4 linked regions of the Schizosaccharomyces pombe genome follow. Changing the gene in region 2 together with the main gene of any one other region gives a genetic interaction. Each region holds a gene or a part of one and is shown on either strand. Other genes may lie near its edges. The genes, in order: asl1, emc10, zds1 and omh6.

Evidence for each region.
Region 1: mutations in emc10 (region 2) and asl1 together harm fitness more than expected from each alone (negative genetic interaction), as found in Schizosaccharomyces pombe (one large-scale study listed by BioGRID).
Region 3: mutations in emc10 (region 2) and zds1 together harm fitness less than expected from each alone (positive genetic interaction), as found in Schizosaccharomyces pombe (one large-scale study listed by BioGRID).
Region 4: mutations in emc10 (region 2) and omh6 together harm fitness more than expected from each alone (negative genetic interaction), as found in Schizosaccharomyces pombe (one large-scale study listed by BioGRID).

Annotation. Positions count from the first base shown.
Region 1 is NC_003424.3:191,405-196,007, forward strand, and holds asl1 (O-glucosyl hydrolase Asl1), read right to left. Parts: upstream 2,647-4,603; 5' UTR 2,485-2,646; coding exon 892-2,484; 3' UTR 524-891; downstream 1-523. Other genes in the region: mevalonate kinase Erg12, read right to left, coding at 2,715-3,854, 4,104-4,178.
Region 2 is NC_003424.3:5,204,600-5,207,791, reverse strand, and holds emc10 (protein Emc10), read left to right. Parts: upstream 1-1,555; 5' UTR 1,556-1,656; coding exon 1,657-2,328; 3' UTR 2,329-2,637; downstream 2,638-3,192. Other genes in the region: terminal uridylyltransferase Cid1, read right to left, coding at 1-489, 591-731, 836-1,079; protein tyrosine phosphatase Pyp2, read right to left, coding at 2,834-3,192.
Region 3 is NC_003424.3:4,564,708-4,571,644, reverse strand, and holds zds1 (zds family phosphatase type A regulator Zds1), read right to left. Parts: upstream 5,308-6,937; 5' UTR 4,339-5,307; coding exon 1,522-4,338; 3' UTR 1,148-1,521; downstream 1-1,147. Other genes in the region: SPOM_SPAC12B10.01C (ubiquitin-protein ligase E3), read left to right, coding at 1-1,147; slm1 (cytoskeletal signaling protein), read left to right, coding at 6,255-6,937. UniProt on the Schizosaccharomyces pombe protein: Has a role in establishing cell polarity. Also required for maintenance of cell wall integrity, sexual differentiation, calcium tolerance and cell morphology. Involved in Ras-MAPK signaling pathway at cell cortex. Has a role in meiosis.
Region 4 is NC_003424.3:3,391,225-3,395,832, forward strand, and holds omh6 (alpha-1,2-mannosyltransferase Omh6), read right to left. Parts: upstream 3,021-4,608; 5' UTR 2,726-3,020; coding exon 2,259-2,725; exon of another isoform or gene 2,188-2,258; coding exon 1,901-2,187; intron 1,883-1,900; exon of another isoform or gene 1,805-1,882; coding exon 1,662-1,804; 3' UTR 1,467-1,661; coding exon of another isoform or gene 685-1,466; 3' UTR 526-684; downstream 1-525. Other genes in the region: U3 snoRNP-associated protein Utp7, read right to left, coding at 1-166; SPOM_SPAC959.11 (uncharacterized protein), read right to left, coding at 685-1,050; tRNA-splicing endonuclease subunit Sen15, read left to right, coding at 1,035-1,466; pdi4 (protein disulfide isomerase), read right to left, coding at 4,461-4,608. UniProt on the Schizosaccharomyces pombe protein: Probable mannosyltransferase involved in O-glycosylation of cell wall and secreted proteins.

The sequences.
Region 1 (4,603 bases), 5.0 Mb from region 2:
ATTTGTAAGAGGGGCATGAGTAGAGTTTCTTTTTATGATTACAGTGAGTAGAGCAGGTTAAGAATCTAGTACTAGATTACTCGGCGTAAGTTAAATCTGCTGCAAAGAACTATGCAAAAAAAAGGTTACTTTAATAAATTTTTCGCAAGAGATTCGAGATAACTTTTTCTTTTAATATCTGCTAATTAAGTTTGTGATGTCTCTTAAATTGCTCATGCTTCTAATATCCTATAGTTCAATAAGCCTTTTCTTGTTCGTGTGTCCAAAGTTGCTAAGACCTCCTTTTGAAAAGAGGCAAACAAGCATGTAAAGAACACCCAGATATCAAACCACCCACAATGGCGCAATGGAGAAATAGTTGTTTTATCATTACAGCAGTCAATTATGCATTTGTTTTCATTTTATAGACGAGACTTTCGCTTATTATTTACCTTTATACTACAGATCATCAACAATGTCAGCAAATAAAGTTAAACGACTTTATCAAGAGTTCCAAAGCTTACAGAAAAGATTACTAATAAAATTTAAAAGACATTTAACGACTGTATTAAATTAAAACACGCAGCATATTCATTGAATACACGCTTTAAAAATTGTGACATCAAACACAATGAACTTCATGGTTGGTAAAATAAACGAATGAATAAATGAAAGATCGATGTAATAAGAAGCACATCTCCTATAAGCATAGTTCAGAAAGCTTAAACAATCTGATAGATGGCAGAGTATTCAAAAAAAAGCGACAAAAACCATGAAACAAAATATCATAAAAAAGAGTTTCAGAGCAAGAAGAAATAAGAGTATTTGACAGTTTAAAGAACGAAAAAAAAGCATAAGAATTACCATTATATCTCACAAGATAATTTCCCATTTTGTGTAAATTTAAGGAGTTCAAGAAATATAAATCTCTCCGACTTCACTTAATCCACCAGAGGAACTGATAAGGGCATTGTTATTACCAACACCGGCTCCGAGTTCGGTAGCAGGAGCAAACCAACTGTAACGCTCAACAGATCCATGTCCATCTAAAAAGCCAAGAGCGCTGGTCATCAAAGTCTTAACTTCATCCAATGAAGGTAAATTGCTATCATCCCAGTTGGTGCAAGCAAATTCAGTAAGCCAAATAGGGAGACCGTAATTGGCGAGAGAGTTAATATAATCTTGCAAATTGCTAAAGTCAATACCATACCAATGGCAAGCAATGAAATCGATCTTACAATCAGAGCATGCGCTCATGAATTCAGAAAGCCAATCTTCACCTACGTTACTGATGGCAGGTGATCCCAAATAACCAATGGCACCAGATTCACGAAGAGGTGTTAAGTATTGAAGATAATAACTAGCTGCAGTAGCTGCATCTATAGGATTTCCAGCAGCGGACAAATCAGGCTCATTAAATCCAATGACGGTAGCACCACCAGTGAAAACAGAAGAAGCTGAAGAAAGGCTATTGGCATCATGTTGGTTGAGAACATATTCAAAAGAGGAACTCAGACCAGATGAATAACTACCCCAGTTGTAATACCAGTTGATGCCCTTATTGACAAAGTTATCAGAGTAACCAAGGTCAGTTCCAGGAATCCAGGCCAAACCGCGCTTGCCAGAAACTGAAGAACTAGTAGGAGATGCTGATGCAGAGCTTGAGGTAGCACTGGAAATAGTACTAGAAGCAGCAACAGAAGTGGCACTAGAGACAACAGAGGAAACGACAGCTGAAGAGGAGGCGGCAGCTGAAGAAACAGCAGGAGTACTAACTCCCTTGTTAGCAGCAGAAACACTGGCACTTGCAACTACAGAAGAAAGAGCAATAGATGATGAGGAAGTGGGGACGTAAGATGTAGCAGAGCCAGCTGATATCTCTGATGAAGAAGCAACTGAAGACGAGACAGGAGCCACATAGGATGAAGTTGACGTAGCAACTTCAGAGCTAGCAGGATAAGAACTAGTAACTTCAGTACTAGAAGCAGAATAAGAGCTAGCAACTTCAGTACTAGAAGCAGGATAAGAAGAGCTAGATTCGGAACTGGTAGCAGGATACGAAGTGAAAAATTCAGAACTAGAAGTGGCAGATGTCTCGGGAGTTGATACAGGGACAGAAGTATTGGACCATACGGGTGCAGTAACGTTGTCCATAGTATATAGAGGAGTACTAACAAAAGTGGCAGGGTAGCTAGTGGCAGAGGAACTAGCAGCAGGGGCACTGGTTGTTACAACCACAGATTCCGTAGAGGTAGTAGGTAAAGCCGTTGAAGCACCATCGTCGGACGACTCGGTAACAGAAGCTAAACCAGTGGAGTAAGAAGTATATGAGGAAGATGAGTTAGCACCAGGAACTGCGGTAACATAAACAGTCTCCAAGATAGTCTCATACACGGTTAAAACGCCATCATCATCACGACGGTGATGGCGATGGTTAGGAGCATAGGGCAAAGCTCCAACGGTCGATAAAAAAGCTAAAGCGACGGTCGCGAAAGTAGTACGCATTTTTTTAGAAAATACTAGATAAAACGCGTCTAATACTAAAAAAAGAAAGAAAAGATGAAATTTGGTATATAGTTGATATATAAAAGAGTGGAAAGGAGTGTTGCTAAAGAACGGACAACGACTCTTATAGACTAGCTTCTACTGTGGTGGTTGGTGAACGACAAGCCGCGTTCATTATCAAGCCACTCATATATATACCAGTTATGAAAATTTGATTATACATAAAAACTTTAAATATAATATTTATTAAATTTGCTGAGTAAATTCAATTTTTTAAAATCAAAGTCAGACTCATATTGAGGGAAAAATGAATCTGAGTCGGTTACCACTGAAACACCAGGTCCACCTAATTGAACATCGTAAATAGAATTTTTATGGGCTAATAGTGATTCTTTACATAACTTAAATTCCTCTTCTTTGCACTCAGGTGTTAATAAAGTAATCGTACAACCTCCACCACCGGCACCTGTAAGCTTCGTCCATCCAATTGACTTAGTGGCTTGTAAAACGCGATCAATGGAATAATGGGATACACCCAAGCATTCTAAGAGTTTTTGATTAAGAACAATAAACTCTCCTAACTTTTTAGCGGAGGAGTTTTTATCGCTCTCCGAAGTCAATGCGAGGACGGCAGACTTTGATATGCCATCGATTGCATCTATTATTGAGTCAATCACAGTTGGTAGTCTTTCCTTCAGTTCAAAAACTCCTTGTACAAGTTTTTTAGTACTTTTTGGTTGTTTGGTATCAGTGATCATAACAGATAAGGTATCTTTAGGCTTTAAGAATTCTTTCATGGCACTCTGATGAGCTGTAGCTTTACGAAAAGCGATAAGTCCTCCATTTGTTGCTACTGCATTATCAATACCACTTGGTGTTCCATGAATACAGCATTCACCTAGAAAAGACCAAGCCTCTATCAACGCAAGTGCTTTGTTGTTTTGAAGAGAATTTGAGCTAGGAGGTTCAATATTACCAAAAGCTAGTAGTAAACTTGTAGCGACAACAACTGATATAGTAGCACTACTACCTAATCCAGCACCCAAAGGTACTTGGGAGCTAATAGTTAAAGTACAACCCTGAGAAGGAGAAGACAAAGACGTGAACAAGTAAAGGGTACAAAGCATTGCTGAGTGAATAAGTCCGTTTTCTTCATTTTTTAATAGCTCTCCTAATCCTTGTAAAAGGTCCAGATTGGGAGATGATGCCGGGTGCTGAACGTTTTCCACTGTTACATGCTGCCAAGGTAGCGATTGAAGATTCCATCGGCGTTCGGTCCCTATATCACTCATCACAATTACTATTTCATTGTTATTAGTCGTCTGTAATTTACAGTAACTCCGTAACGATACAGCTGCAGCTAACGCAGTCTAGAAAGTTAGCATAAAAATTTAAATGATCTCCATATTTTCGCTTTAAAATGGCTTAAGATTAGAATCAAAAATAAGCATGGCTATAGCAGAATGACATTTGCGACGACTGTCAAAGTTAAAAGTGGTGTTCGCTTTGCAAATACTATGTTACAAAGAAATCATATATGCATAACAGAGCTGTATCCAGTACTAGCCTGTTAAAAACTCTCGCTAATGTAATCTGCTTTAAACCTTAGGTAAACTTACAGCTCCATATACAACGGCATGTTCCCCAAACAAAATCGTTTTTCCTGGCGACGAAACAATAAGCGATTTTGACATTTCAGAAATTTTTTTTACGTTCAACTTCAAAACACAGTTAAAATAAGGTGATGGTAAATAGGCGACGAAGGTTGGTTATCGACAGATATCTACGCAAACAGGACAAGGTGATGATGGTATTGGAAGTTGTAGCAAAAGATTGGTATTTTAATTAAAAAGTTACTTTATTTGATTTTGTTTTAAAAGTTCTTTTGTAATAAAAATCGCGATGTTATAGTTTTCATATGCGCTAAGGAAAATGACTTTTTAAACGAGGTATACAGCGCAAAACTCGTTAGACATTTACATAAAACCATAAAATACTACATTTATAGCTTATAGCAAGAAAGCAAGAGCAAGTACATATATGATGAGTATTGATAACATAATATTTAAATAGACAGCTAAGCAAATTGAGAAGTAGTGTTCAGGTATAAAAAAATGCT
Region 2 (3,192 bases):
AAGTTACTACCTTTTCCCGTGGCTCGAACTTATAAGCATAAAATCTAAAAAAGCCATGAAGTAAACTTCCCAATGAGCTATAATTTTGGGAAGGAGGGATATCTTCCAGTTTATCGTCAAAACCAACGTCAAATCCATCAACTATCTTTTCTTGTTTCAAAGGTGACAACAGTAAATTAGGAAAGACGGGAGGCTTGATAACGTGAATCAGATAGTAAAGAACCATTAGGACGTAACCATAACTGGAAAGAGTTCCAAAGTAAGGAGAGTTGATTTGCTTCCGTTTGGCCCAATGCTTAACAAGAAGGACCATGGGTTTTAGGCGAGCATCTAATTTTGTATATGAAGAAAGTAAAAGCGTATTATGAATAGCTAGACGATTGTTAAATCCAATATCACATTGAAACGAAGCCCCAAATCCATTTTTCGTATCAGATGTTAATTTGATAATGGGAATTCTTGCCCTTTGTAAAAATTTTCCTTCAAATCCTGTCGATAGTTAGTTATGCGAGCCAACTGGAAAGGAAAAAAACAATATTCAGAGATAGTTTGTCTAAACTGAATAACTTTTAATGAATAATTATACTTACCTTCAGCTATAAGCTCTTCATAGAATTGGAGCGCAATTGTATCACTTTGGACGCGCGAATCCATAAGCACGCACAAATCCATATCCGAATTTTTAAGTGCTAAACCAGATTCCAAACTTCCAAAGGCTACCAATTCAGCATCTAAGTCACATATCATTAGAATTGGACATTATCAATATTTGGTAAAGTCTCCACTCTCGTTAACTACATAATTGAGACAGTCCTAAATTTATATTCAAACATACCAGGGGATATTCGTTTAAGGCATAGCCGAAGTGTATCTAATGCCGCTCTCTTTTCTTTAAACTCTTTGTCACTAATTTTAATCTCATTATACACTTCATAGCAAAACTTCGTAAATTCCTTGTGCGAATTAGGGACCTTTTGGTAGCTACAACTTTTTGAAATATGTAAATTTTTGTGAATTTCTGCCTCAATCTCTTCAACTGTGTGAACACCAGGAATAAATTGTGCAGAAGAAATGTTCATATTCGTCTACTGCTCAAAAGGTGAAAGTGGCAAACTTATTCACTTTCTCTTTGAGTAATTATTCACTGTTTAATGGTCTTTGATGCTTCCTTTTACTAATTGAAGCAAGTCAGTTACAGTGTTTGCTTTTGGCAAAAGCTCCTTTACCAATTGATATGTTACTTAATAGCAGTAGGGGTGACAGCGCTAATGGATGAGGAATGAGCTATAAAAAGCAGTAAAGTAATTGAAAAAAGTTAGGAAGAAGAAATCCTAAGGTCCAAATGTTTTCTTTCTCACTTAAGAAGCGAATGTTGTATGGCTAGTAATGGTTTATGTGAAAAAGGAAAATTAGCAAATAATCCGTTGAAAGCCTTAATCATGAATATTTCTAACAATAACTACTAATATTTAGTTTATTTTTATGTCAGCGAGCTATCTTCGTCACAGTTAAGCAAAATAGCTTCACTTGATGATTATGGACGAGCTTAACACCTAAACACTACGCTCTTCCTACTTTCAGATACAAAAAGTAATTTTCGTCCGGAAAAGATAATATATTTTATTAATCTCATAGATTTTACGAAATTTACTAAAAATGCTAGGACAAGGCTTGATTTTTATCAGTTTAGCCTTTGTTGCTCATGCATTAGAAATTCCTATTTCTTGCGCTGTATCACATAATGAGCAAACAGAAATATTTCCACATGGTACTATTGATATCCCAGAAATGACATTTCGTCCTTCGGACTCACAAATTGATTGGAGTAATCTTTCTCACTCTGATTTTGTACAATGTGGAGTATACGAAGATTCTACCAACACATGGCTTGCAGGCGCCAGCAAATACAAAATTGATGAAATAAAAACCCTTCCAAAAGTACCTAGAGACCACTATATCATACTTTGTGATTCATCAGAAAGCAATGAGATTGCAAAATTTACTCAAGTGGTCCACTCATTTGATTTTTCATCCGACTCAGAAAGTGCTGTAGTCGAGCAATTGCATCCTTCTTCTCCAATTCCAATTTTAACTACTGCTGTCAGAAAAAAGGGATCACGTCCATCTAAACCCCAGAAGGAAAAACAAGGAAATAAACAGGGTTCTAAAACCGAAGAATCTCCAAATGTGGACGAAGATGAATTAGAGTCCGAACCTGAGGAAAAGACATTTTTCCAAAAATATGGTTTATATCTCATCCCGATATTGTTTCTGATAATTATGTCTGGTAACAATGCAAATCAACAGGCAGCAAATACGGCGAAATAAACGAGTCATTATATATATGCCTTAAAACAATTGCGTCTCGGCTACGATAATTTTTTGATTATTGCTACTACTTACTGTGCTCTTTACAAATATTCTAATTCATCTATTTCCATTCAATAATACTGCTATGTGCCAGATGTACGATACTTAATAGTACTTTAAAATCTATACAAACATTTGTAATGAAATATCGTATAGGAAAGGTTAAAATAAAAAAGAAGGAAGTTTCTACGTGCACATAACTAATTTAGTCTTTAACAATTATTCCATTCCAACATAAACAAGATTCATTAATAACTAGATATAAACATTCATTACACGCATGAGATAAAATCAATTTTTAACAACAATAAGGAAGGAATTACACATGATTACCGGAGAGTGTGGTTAAGTATTTTTAACATAACCTTCGCGTCAGATAATGTAAAAAATGAGGAATTACACAATCTCACATAAATAGAACATAGTGTGTACAAACACAGAAAATTAAAGAACAGTCGTTTCGTTAAGTCATCAAGGGCTTGGAAGCCTGGTTAACGCCGCTATTTAAATAATCCACGACGTCGTAGAGAAATTTGAATTGCTCAAAGTTTTGAACCATTTTCATCCGTTGTGATCTCAACGAGTTAACACAATTGAATATGAAATCTTTTGAATCTTCCAAATTGGTCGTCTTGGGTAAAATGTTTTTTGGTACCTGAAGTATTTGGTCTACAGCAATAAAAGTACCAGTGCGTCCTACGCCTGCTGAACAGTGAACGAACATTGGTCCATCATTGGGAACCTTATCAATACAACGTATGATTCCCGTGATGCTTTCAATATCTGGATGGGTTTTGTCAAACCACGTGTGCACCCAAAAGT
Region 3 (6,937 bases), 640 kb from region 2:
CATACTTCAATTTGTCAGCTTACATCGCCAGAAAATTCGTATTTCTCGGAAAAAAATATTTAATTACGCTTTGCATTTGCTTGCAACTTATGCGGCTTCTGAAAATATTCTTGAAATAGAATACGAAGATGAAGTTGGTTCAGGTCTTGGGCCCACTTTGGAGTTCTATACTTCAGTATCTAAAGAATTTACCTTAAATTCTCTCGATATTTGGCGGAATGATCAACCCAACTCTAAATTTGTGTACCAAGCGTCTGGACTTTTTCCTTCTCCTATTCCATTATTAGGGTCCAGTCCAGAAAATGAAAGAAAAATTTCGTTGTTCTTTGCTCTTGGACAGTTCGTTGCACGCTCGATTTATGATTCAAGGATAATAAGCATTCAGTTTAATCCACTTTTCTTTGCACGAAATATACCTTTAACCATTTCCTCTGTAGCGAAAGTTGACAAGGGCTTAGCTAACTCGTTACGATATTTAGAGAAATTAATACCGGGTAAAAACCCTACAAACGCCGAGACGGACATTAAGCTTGAAGACCTTCATCTCGATTTTACTCTACCGGGATTTCCGTCTATTGAACTCATACCTGATGGAGCTAGTACACCTGTGACAACATTCAATGTGAGTGATTATTTAAATTATGTCATTGACTATACTGTTGGAAAGGGTGTTCAACAACAATTAGAAGCATTTCAAAATGGGTTTTCCAGCGTTTTTCCTTATACTTCTTTGCAAGTTTTGACAGAACATGAATTGGTCACACTATTCGGTACTGTCGATGAGGATTGGAGTTACGCGACCTTGATGAAATCTATAGTAGCAGATCACGGTTACACCATGGAAAGTCCTACAATCCAGAGATTACTGACTTTGATGAGTCAAATGAATTTTCAAGAACAAAGAGACTTTTTGCAATTTATTACTGGAAGCCGAAAACTTCCTATTGGAGGATTTGCTGGCCTAAATCCCCCGTTAACTGTTGTTAGGCGCTTAAATGAACCTCCTTATGTACCTGATGATTATCTTCCAAGCGTGATGACTTGTGTGAATTATTTGAAACTACCTGAGTATTCTTCAAGTGAGGTTTTAGGAAGTCGACTTTCTAAGGCTATTTTAGAAGGACAGGGCAGTTTTCATTTATCCTAAGCATTGTTTAGAAAAAAAAAGTTATTGTATAGCACTTCAGTAGCGTTCTATGATTACTTCAAAATAGAGGCTATGTACAAATATAAAGCGAAAAAGAATTGGTAATTTATTATAGAATGGGTAACTTCGTACTCCCCTTACAATGTAAAGTAGCATAGCGAATGAAATTCATTAGAAACTTATGCATTGAGTAAGAATTTTATATTTAACTCATGAAAATAAATAACCACCTGCTTCCAGAAAGTGTTGGTGAACAAGATACAAATTTTTAAAGACAATGAAGACCCTGTAACATATAACAAAAGTCGCCAAATGCTAATAATTAACCAATGAGGAAAAATGTTAGACCAACGAATAGCAGTAGGGTAAAATGATTATTTAGCATTCTTTGAAACTTTTTGAATATTTTGAGAAACGGTATGAATAGTCGATCCTTTCCTATTAAGATTTCGCTTACGCTGATCTCCAAATTGATAACTGAGATTCTCCAGCTCGTTTTTTACATTTTCTGCTGAAAACTCTGAACGCCTTTGTTGTCCATTAATGTCTTTGCGTATTGGTTTAGCAGTAGACTGTTGTACATTATTCATCGGGCGATTTGAGCTAATTCGAGAAATTAAATCTAAGTATGAATACATAAAGTTACTTAAGAGAACTTGTTGAAACAATGGGCGATGCGCGTTTGACAACTTTATATGAGAGAGACGATAAATGGCACGTTCAGTACAAATTGGAAAACGACTCCAGTAATAATCCTTATCAGGAATAAACGTTTTTGGTTCCGTACTCTTTTCATCACTTTGTTGATCGGTACCTTCGTCATCTGTCACTGTCTGACACTTAGCTTCTGCGACAGAAGTGGTATTGGGCAATTCACTAGGTGCGGAAATTGGCTTTGCTTTTGGTGGGGCATCATTATGCGGTGGAGAAGAAGATACAGGGGGTATTTCCGTCTGCTTTTTCTTCGAGCCAAATAAAGATCCAAAAATGCTTTCCTTGTCTCGGTCCTTTTTAAAAGAAGAAGCAGACTTTGAAGAAGAAGAAATTTGGTCATTCTTCTTTTTCTGTTTATCTTTTTTGTGTTCTTTGTGTTCTTTATCAGAATCACCAGACACAAAAAGACGGCCCCAGGACCTCTTGGTTTTCTTTGATTCAGAAGAGGGTGGACTTGGTGAAGAAGTTGAACCTTTGTTAGCAGTGGATGATTTTTGTTTTGGAGTAACGGGAACTTGAGTGCTTTTTAAAATATTGTTTTTCGATGGCTTATTAGGACCGGTTTCAGGAGTCGGAATATGACGCTCATGAAAAATCTCTGGCTTTTTTGAGGACTCTAAAGAAACGTTCAAAGAAGAAGGAATAGGCGTGGGTATCCTAGTAGGCTTTGGACTTAAAGTCCTACCAGGCACAGGAGTAGGGACTCTAGGAGGTATTACGGAAGGAGAAGCGTTCGGTTCAGAATAATTCTTTTCCTCACGGACTACTGAAGGTGTATAACCCTCAGTTTTATTATTAGAAGGTAATGAGTCATCTGCTTTTTTATCAATCTCAACAGAATTTTCATGTTTATCCTCCAGTACCGACGACTTCGACGGAACAGAATCTTCAGATTTATCTTCTGGTACCGACGACTTTAATACAACAGAATCTTCAGCCTTATTTTCTGGTACCGATGATTGCAACGCAATAGCATTTTCCGGTATACCTTCCGTTGCCGACGGTTTCGACGCAATAGAATTTTCAGATTTATCTTCTGGTACCGACGACTTTAATACAACAGAATCTTCAGCCTTATTTTCTGGTACTGGCGGTTTCGATGTACTAGACTTTTCAGGTTTGTTTTCCGGTGCCGGTGCTTTCAATGCGAGAGTACCTTCGGATAACGAAGATTCAGATGCAACAGCACTTTCAGCTTTATTCTCCGAAACATACAGCTTATCGATCTTATTCGTCTCTTTATGTAAGGTTGTATCTGCAGAGGCGTTATCAATCTTTGGTGGATTCGTCAAGGATAAAACCTCTAGAGCTTGGTCAGATTGGTTTTCAACATCGTCCGATGGATTTTGAGAGTTTGACAGCGCCGAAGTTCTAGAGTCATCCGACTCAACAAGTTCATCAGCAGATATGGGCTCTATTTTATGTAGAGGCGAAGTATCGGTCGGCTTTTGCAAAATAGAGTGACTACGGTTGCCAGATAGAGTTGATGTTTTACCCCGGTGGATAGTCCGAATCGAAGCACCTGTCCTTCGAATTGTCGTCCTTGAGGAACGTTGAAGAAAATGATTAGGAGATACTAGTAAAGGCGAATCTTCGGGAGAGCCGTTGCTCATGCCATCAACTAAAGAAACCATCCTATGGGGATCACGTGCAAGAGATTCCAAATGCTCTAACTCATTCAAGCGTAAAGATCTATGCCTTTTGAGATACGCTTTCTCCACGATCGGACTGCCATCTTGGTAATTAATTACAGCATCGTCAGCTTTAACCTGTCGTGACAACAATGACTTTCTTCTTCTTAGGGAACGAATGTGCTCAAGAGGACTTGAAGATGTGTCTGTAGCAGTAGGGGACTTAAGGTTTTTAACTTGAAGGTCCAAAAACGATTTCCAACCAGTCGGGTTCAATTCAGGATGTAAATTTGCTGGTACCCAGAATAGGGTAGATGCATCTTGTTCGGTTTCAGGTGGGGACATCGCAACTGACCAGTCAGTTGGAATCTCAGGATCATCAGCTCCTTGCAGAGATATTCTTCGAAGATGTGTTAGAGTTTTCCTCTCTTTATCCAACTCTTCTTCAGACATCCCATCATGAATTTCCGAAAAAGAAGGGACAGATGACTGAGCATCAGAGGAGGAATCCTCATCATCGGCAGCTTCGTTACCGCTAGAAGTCTCCGCTTCTTCTGTGGTATCGTTTTCATTGTTGTTTTCATTTGATATTGTGATATTTTGATCACTCAATAAGTTAGCTTCATTATCAGGGCTCACCAACTTCGAACGAATTTCTACCGACGGATCATCTGTTGAGCGAGTTAAAGAGGAATTATTCTCAAGTGGTTCAGATGAAGAGCCAGATAGCTGGGTTGTGTCATGTTCATTACATTCAGTAGATTCCTGAGAAGCAACGAAAGCAGGATCTTTAGGGTCACTTTTAGTCTCAATGGATAGAGTATTAGAAACTGAAGAACTAGACATTATTTTTTATTTAAAAGGAAAAAGAAAAGAAAGAGAACCAATCAGTTGAAAAAATAGTTTGACAGAATTAATCAAATAAAAAAGAAAGAAAGGAATCGTATGCCAAGTTTGTGAGAGAATTAAAAAAATAAGAAGAAATAGGAAGTTAAGTTGCAGAGGAAATTGAAGTTGCAATGCTCTCAAAATGTATCCTAGAAATGAACAAGTTGAAAATATTTAATGAAAAGCAAAGTAAAAACAAAAAAAGAAAAAGGGGCAAATCAAAGGATTTGAATAAACAAGTACTTTATTATACTTTAATTTGAGAAGAAAGAAAGAAAAGTAGAATAAAATGGTTTCAAATATTATTTACAAAGGAAAATGAGACACCCCAATACGTGAGTAATAATCACAATAGGTCTTCTTTCAATCTTCCCACCGTTGCCAATCCGTATTTGCGAAACAAAAGTCCAGTTTTTTTTCGTTTTTAAAAAAAAAAAGGAAAATAAATAAAATGTTCCAATTCTAGTAAGGTTGGGTACTAGACGGATAATTCGTCAATACAAATCAGAAAATAGCCTTTGGCCGCATGGAATAGCTTTATGGAAATAACAGTTTTCAACTAAGGAATTTAAAAAGCAATTTCATGAACAGATCCGCTCAGAAACAAGCACAGCCGACCGTCCGTCAAACAGCACAGCAACAATGGGGCGCCTTGGAATATTAAAGTAATTTAATTAATTACTCCGATCAAAAAAGGGAAATGAAAGAAATGCAAGAAAAACACCTCAATGATTAACAAAGCGTAGAAAGGAATAATTTGGAAAAACAAACAATCCGAGTTTCATACAACACTGGTTTTCCCAATACAGACGAAGTAAACACACGAGATTCAAAAACGAAATCAAAAAAGTAACTTCTTTTTTTTCACAGCGAATGCTATTCCCTCCTTCAAGGGTAAAATACGAACTATGCAAATGTTTGGGTGCTGGAAGGATGCTCTGGAATACCAAGACACCTTTATTGCATCTCAGCAGCTTATAGTGCCGCAGCGCAATCGTCCTTCATCACTTGTGTCGAAGACTCGTACAATTTATATAACGCAAAACAACGAAGTACAGTATTAGAAAATGTAAACAAAAGGTACTTTAGTGTATTAGGTTGGATAAGTTGAGTAGGAAAAAAAAAAGAGCTAAAACCTATCTATGTTTAATTTCTTTCATAGCGTTATTTTTTTAGTAAAAAATTTGCAATATGAGTGCTTAGCGACATAGAAAAATGGCGAAAATTCGACTAATTAAGTATTTTTGAAAAGGAGTACAAAGTATAATATTTATATTTTCTGACCTCAAAACTTGATTTCTACTAGTTCCATCATTCTTCCTGCTTTTCCCTATTCAAAGAAAATAGACATATTTATCCAGTCCAACGGAGGCAGTTTCTTGAGTTACTTCCTTATAGCAGAACCAAAGAAATTGAAACGTTTGAATAAAAGAAGAAAAACCTTTTCCTTGGTTCAAACTCCCTATCAACTATAATTTCCCAATAATGTATCAATTGCTCATTAAAGGTACAAAATACCTATGTTCCCAAGCAAGCACCTATTGTTTGCCATAACTAACGAGCATATCAAGCCTTTGTTTGATGATGGTCGATAATTTTATAAATATACAAGTCGAACATACATTGCAAGTTCAAATTTTGCTTCACCTGTTTCTTTGACATTTTTTCTTAAGCACTGAATGTTCTATTTCCAACAAAACCCTTTACTTCAAGTACCACCAATTTCCTATTATGAGTTACGTTAAACAGAATACCAACCCAGAACATTTATATCGGTACAGCAAACCCCTTCAGGAGGGTGATTGGCGTCATACGAGCAGATCGTTTTCTTTAACAAGTTCCAAGTCAAAAAAGCTTCACCAAGAACCAACAAGATGGAACTTTCAGGGAAATCGGAATTTCCAACCAGGACGGAGATTCCAAACCAGGCTTCAAACGGAGATGCAGTCCCAAACACAGACGCATATATGGGACTTTGCAACTCCTTGACTTATCGGTTTGAAGGATGGAGACATTTGGTGGAAAATCTGATTGCATTCTTTAAGCAATTAGAGTCAACGTCAAAAAACAATGCAAAGGAGTATATGAAATTGAGCAAAGTTATTGTCCATCCTTACAAAGATGCTAATGTATTTGAAGAACACGGAATTCAAGATATTTTTGCAGCGCTTCGAGACCAAACGGCTGCCATCGCTTCGGATAGCGAGCAAATATCTATCCAGTTGCCAGGTACTATCATCAATATATTAGAACTTCTTCGTGAAGACCTTCGTGAACACTGTAAGAAAATCGCAGCGGAAGGTACAAAAGGTGTGAAAGTAGTTGAAAAGCAGCGTGCGGAAACTCAAAAGTATCTTTCCTTACTAGATCGGGCTCTTTTACCATGGAGAGCATCCAGTCCACCTACTGTAAACATTAAGAACGACCCTTTTATTGTAGATAGACAAGTGCTAAACTGTTTGGCTCGACAAGTTCAAGAAGAGAACAATCACTCCGTAGCAGTGGCACAGCTTCAAGAATTTTCTTTTCGTTTCGAGCAAAACCTTATCGCAAAAAT
Region 4 (4,608 bases), 1.8 Mb from region 2:
CGGTTTTCGCCAAGGAAGACTCAACATTCTCAATTCTCTCCTCGATTTTCTGAATATTGCTTCGAAGCTTTTTATCCTTGATTTTCTTTGGATTCAGCTTGCGCCCTCTAGAATATTTTTTTGTAGAAGCATTAACATCCTCCAAATTCAACTTTTGAGCAGACATAATGCTAACTAAGTAAAGATATTAGTGAGGAAAAAAGATTTTTTTTTCTTTTTAGGCCTGATTATACAAAAAAAATGAAGCAGTTTTCTAATAAACAATTCTTTCCAAAATTTAGGTATCTCCCTTAGTCAAAAAGTTAGAAACCCTTCAATTTTTACACAAATGTATTATGTAAACGAAGTGATAGTTAAAAAATTCAAACACTACGTTCGACTTCGATTCTATGACCCAACAGTAGGTTTAGGTTGAGGGCAGGTGGAATGTAGTTCTAGGAATAGGATTTGTGCGTTCTTATTGTAAAAAATCAGAAACTACTACTAACACAATTAGATACAAACCACAATTATTTACAAATAATACAAGTATAATAAAATAAAATTTCATAAAAATTAAGTATGCAAAATAAAAACAAGAAAATTTTAAAAGTAAACCCGAAACCCAGTAAAAACATTATAAGTTCAGACAATGGCCAATGCCAAAACTGCGAAATGAACCATGAAACGAAAATAGCTCAGGAATTAATTCTCCTGCTTTTTGGTCATGGAAAGAAGCTGGATCGAATTGGATATATCGCTCATCTTCGAACCGCTATTATGAGCACTTCTTAGTACGCTCTGCGTAGTGTTGTAATCATCAATACTCTGTAAAAGGACGTTTTGTTGGTATTTGTTGTTTTTAGAGGAGTTTTTGTTTTGTTTTGAGGATTTCTTAACTCCTTTTGAAGTCTGTTTAGGCTTTTTTGACTGCTTGTTCCTTTTCTGTGCCATTTGGTTGAAGTTAAAAGTTTTATCACGGAGGCGATAATTCATTTTTTCAACAAAATTTTCCTTCTCAAAAGTAAAGATATATTTATTATAAACAAATACACATGCAACATAATACATTTCTCCCTAACGATGCTGTAGAAGAGCAAAAGCAAAATCCATACTATGGAATACTGAGAGCAGTGGAAACCGACTTAAGGCTCGGTCAACGTTGGTGTGAATTAAAGGTACATGTTCTTGATATTGACTTAAAAACAAAAAGGCCTTTACTCTCAGGGATTCCCGTAAATGGACAGCTCAAAGACAAATTGCAATATGTTCTGCCGCTTTACCTCCAAGAGACAATTTCGATCGAGTTTCTGTCCTCTGTTTTCGATTCTATGAAGAAACTGAGCCTTCCACTTGTAAAGGATGCTCGAGGTCTTTCTGGAGATGAGTTTTTCCTATACCTGGGAATCATGTGTTCTGACTCAACGATAGTATATTACAAGATCACCGATGGACTTATAAAACCAAGGCAAAATGATGAAGAATAAACACATGATATATACATATTTATTGATTAGGATTGAAAAACGGAAAGACAACGCTATAATTTTACCACTACCAGATTAATTTTTCACTTCAAGTGTCTCAACGTTTGTAAATGAAAATGCACATATTACAATAACTTTCATAAAACAAATTCGTATGAACAAAAATTTTCTGTAAAGCTCATTCATCAATTAATATCACAAACATGCACATCTTCCTGTGTATGGAATAGTTTCTGGGCAATAATGAACATCATCGTTTAAGAAAAATCCCACTGATTCCATATGATTAGCACGCGCTCTTAAAACACCAAATGCTGCTGAAAGGATATCAGACTCGGCTAAATAAATGTCAGCAAAAAGTACAACGTGAAGCATTTATATTAGAAACAGGTTAAATAAAGTCATTTCCAAAATTGAAGAAGCAATTTACTTACTCCAGCGATGATAATATGTTCCTCCTGAACCAAGCAAGTAATTAATTAGGTTGGTGTAGGTCTGATTATGCCGAATTTGCTTTAGAGATAAAATTTCATTAAAAGGCCAGTATTTACAATAGGTGTAGTTGTTACTATAAACCCAGATATTGCTGAAATCTCCTTGAGTGTTTAAAATTTTGTATTCTTCAATTGCCTCTTCCATAGCATATATACCAGAGTGTTTACGTTCACAGACGTGGTTTGTAAATACAATGTCGCTGTCTTTGAAAGTAGAAAATATATCTCTGAACAAAAATATTAGTTAGGTTTCCTGAAAAAGAAGAACGAAATAAACAAGTTTTACCGAGTTTCTTACTTTTTTTCTTCACAAACCAATTTGAGCCCGGGTTCTATTCTCCAAACATAATCGTATTCCAATTGAGGATGATATAATAAAGATCGAACTACCCAATCTTGAAAACTGTGAAACAAAGGAGAGTATACGTAAGATAGATTCTCTTGAGCAAGTGCATCTGCTCGTTGTTGATAAAGTCGATTGTTTTCAACTAGGGGTTTTACTTGAGAAAGATCCCAATGCACTAAGTAAGAGATAGTTAGAATAAATTGTAAATGATTGGTATAAGTTATTCCCTTCGTACCGTATTCACAATGACCAGACGCAATCGTGCTTGTCGTACTCATAAAGTATTCCGTAAACTCATCCATGCCGTAAAACGTCCAAGGATAATGAAACCTCTTATTAAATCTATCCTCTACGCTACGCATCGTGCGCAACACTTCCCCAAGTTCAGCATTACTAGAAAACAGAATTAGAAAGTACATCTCAAATGGCACCGTACGCGGTAAACATCAGAAAAGAAGCACTCAAATTGGAGCTTTGAGGTTCATTAAGAATCACATATACATTGTTGGGTTCATTTACAGAGAATCCATTCAACCAGGTAAATACAATTGGTAGTATGGAAAGTAAAAGTTCGTAAAACATAATGAAGCTTAAACACGAGCAGAACTTTCCCTGTTATGAGAAGTAACTAGTTCAACTAACGTATGACTCCAAAAGTAACGCATAGAAAGTGGATTTGAAGGAATTTAACTGAAATTGCCTAAGACAATGGTTAAGGGCAAATGTTAATACCCTGCTAGAGATTTGACCTTAGAAAAGAGAGCTCTTTGAGTATAAATATTTATTTTTAGCAAATCAATTTTTGTATACAATGTTTGATGGGTAGATCACTGAAAGAATCTGCTAACGAGCATAATCTTATAAATGACATTTGCATAAGCGTACTGATAGTCGCTATGTCGAGCTGTTATTACTGTTGGAATATTTAAGTTCTATCAAAGGAATTATAAAATTTGCATTCGTCTTTTATAATGGTTTTTAATGTCTATTAAACAATTCATTGTTGCTGATGAATGTAAACAAAAGCAATAAGTTTAAGTATAGGAAAGCTTCAGCTGTTCTAGAATACAAACTCAGTAAAATGTTATAAAATAATATTTCATAAACCCAAGTGGCATATGTATCTTAAGACATTTTCCCAATATCTGCAAACTAATTCACTACTTTCGATCAAATTATATACTGTGGTTGTTCATAATGCACAATCTTATTTTAACGAGCCTTTTTTTTTGCTTTCTGGAAACACCAAAATTCCTAGACTACTAAGGGTAAAACAGTCACTAGGGTTAGGGTTGTAATTTTCAACAAACTATATAAAGTCTCGTTTGCACTTCGTTATAACCTATCATGAATCTGAAGTTACATTGTTCAGATTCTTTCGAGAATCTTGCGTGTAACATGGTTGGCGTGTAGAGGTTGACAAGAGTACAGACAGGGCGGCGATTGTCCTTGCAGTTTCGACTGCAGGTTGAGAGTTGGCGTCTTGCCATGAAAATTGACTAAAGGATGCTGCGTAGCCTAGCCAACAGATTCTAAAACGATTGGAGTGATCCTGATCCTTCTCCTTTGGAGAGGAATTGGTTGATCCTCTGACAACTGTATATTCCTAAATCTTTCGCTACATGATCTCTGGATCCTTGCAGTTGGGTAAAACCATACAGTTGACATTTTTCATTTGGGTAGTTCTTCTTTTATGATAGTTTAATCATGTGTATGAATACGATTAATTATTTTATTACAATTTTACTTTGTCATTTAAAACTGAATTTTTTAAACTTCCAATTCGCTGTTAATGAACAAATAAAAATGGGCGTTGTGATGTTTTGATGAGAAACAGGCTGACCTGTCGATGTAGTTTTCGTTTGTACAGCTTGACCGTTTGAGGTAGGTTGCCAGTATGGTATTTTGTATACTTAAACTGAATTTTTAATGATAATATTCTCGTCATATTTTGAGGTACTTTGTTTTCGTGTATAAGTCCTTGTCAAATTAAATGGACTACAAAGTTTTTAACAATCAGTTTTGTGGGCTGTTTGTAGCAACATCACAAGTGTATTAGCAATAAATGATTTAGAAATGCTACCCTAAGAGAGTATATAAAAAAAACCTTTCGCTCCTTTTCATCGTTTACTAGGTCGTTGAATTGTCAACATTTCAGTCTGATTTGGCAATTACAAGCGAATGATAAAAACCAAAAACTGGTTGCTTGTTCAGCAGTTGTCGACGCCGACGGGAAAGCCTGCTAGCTGAAATAATTGTCAGGATGCTCAATATTAGTAAAGCAATGAGCAAATTAAAAACT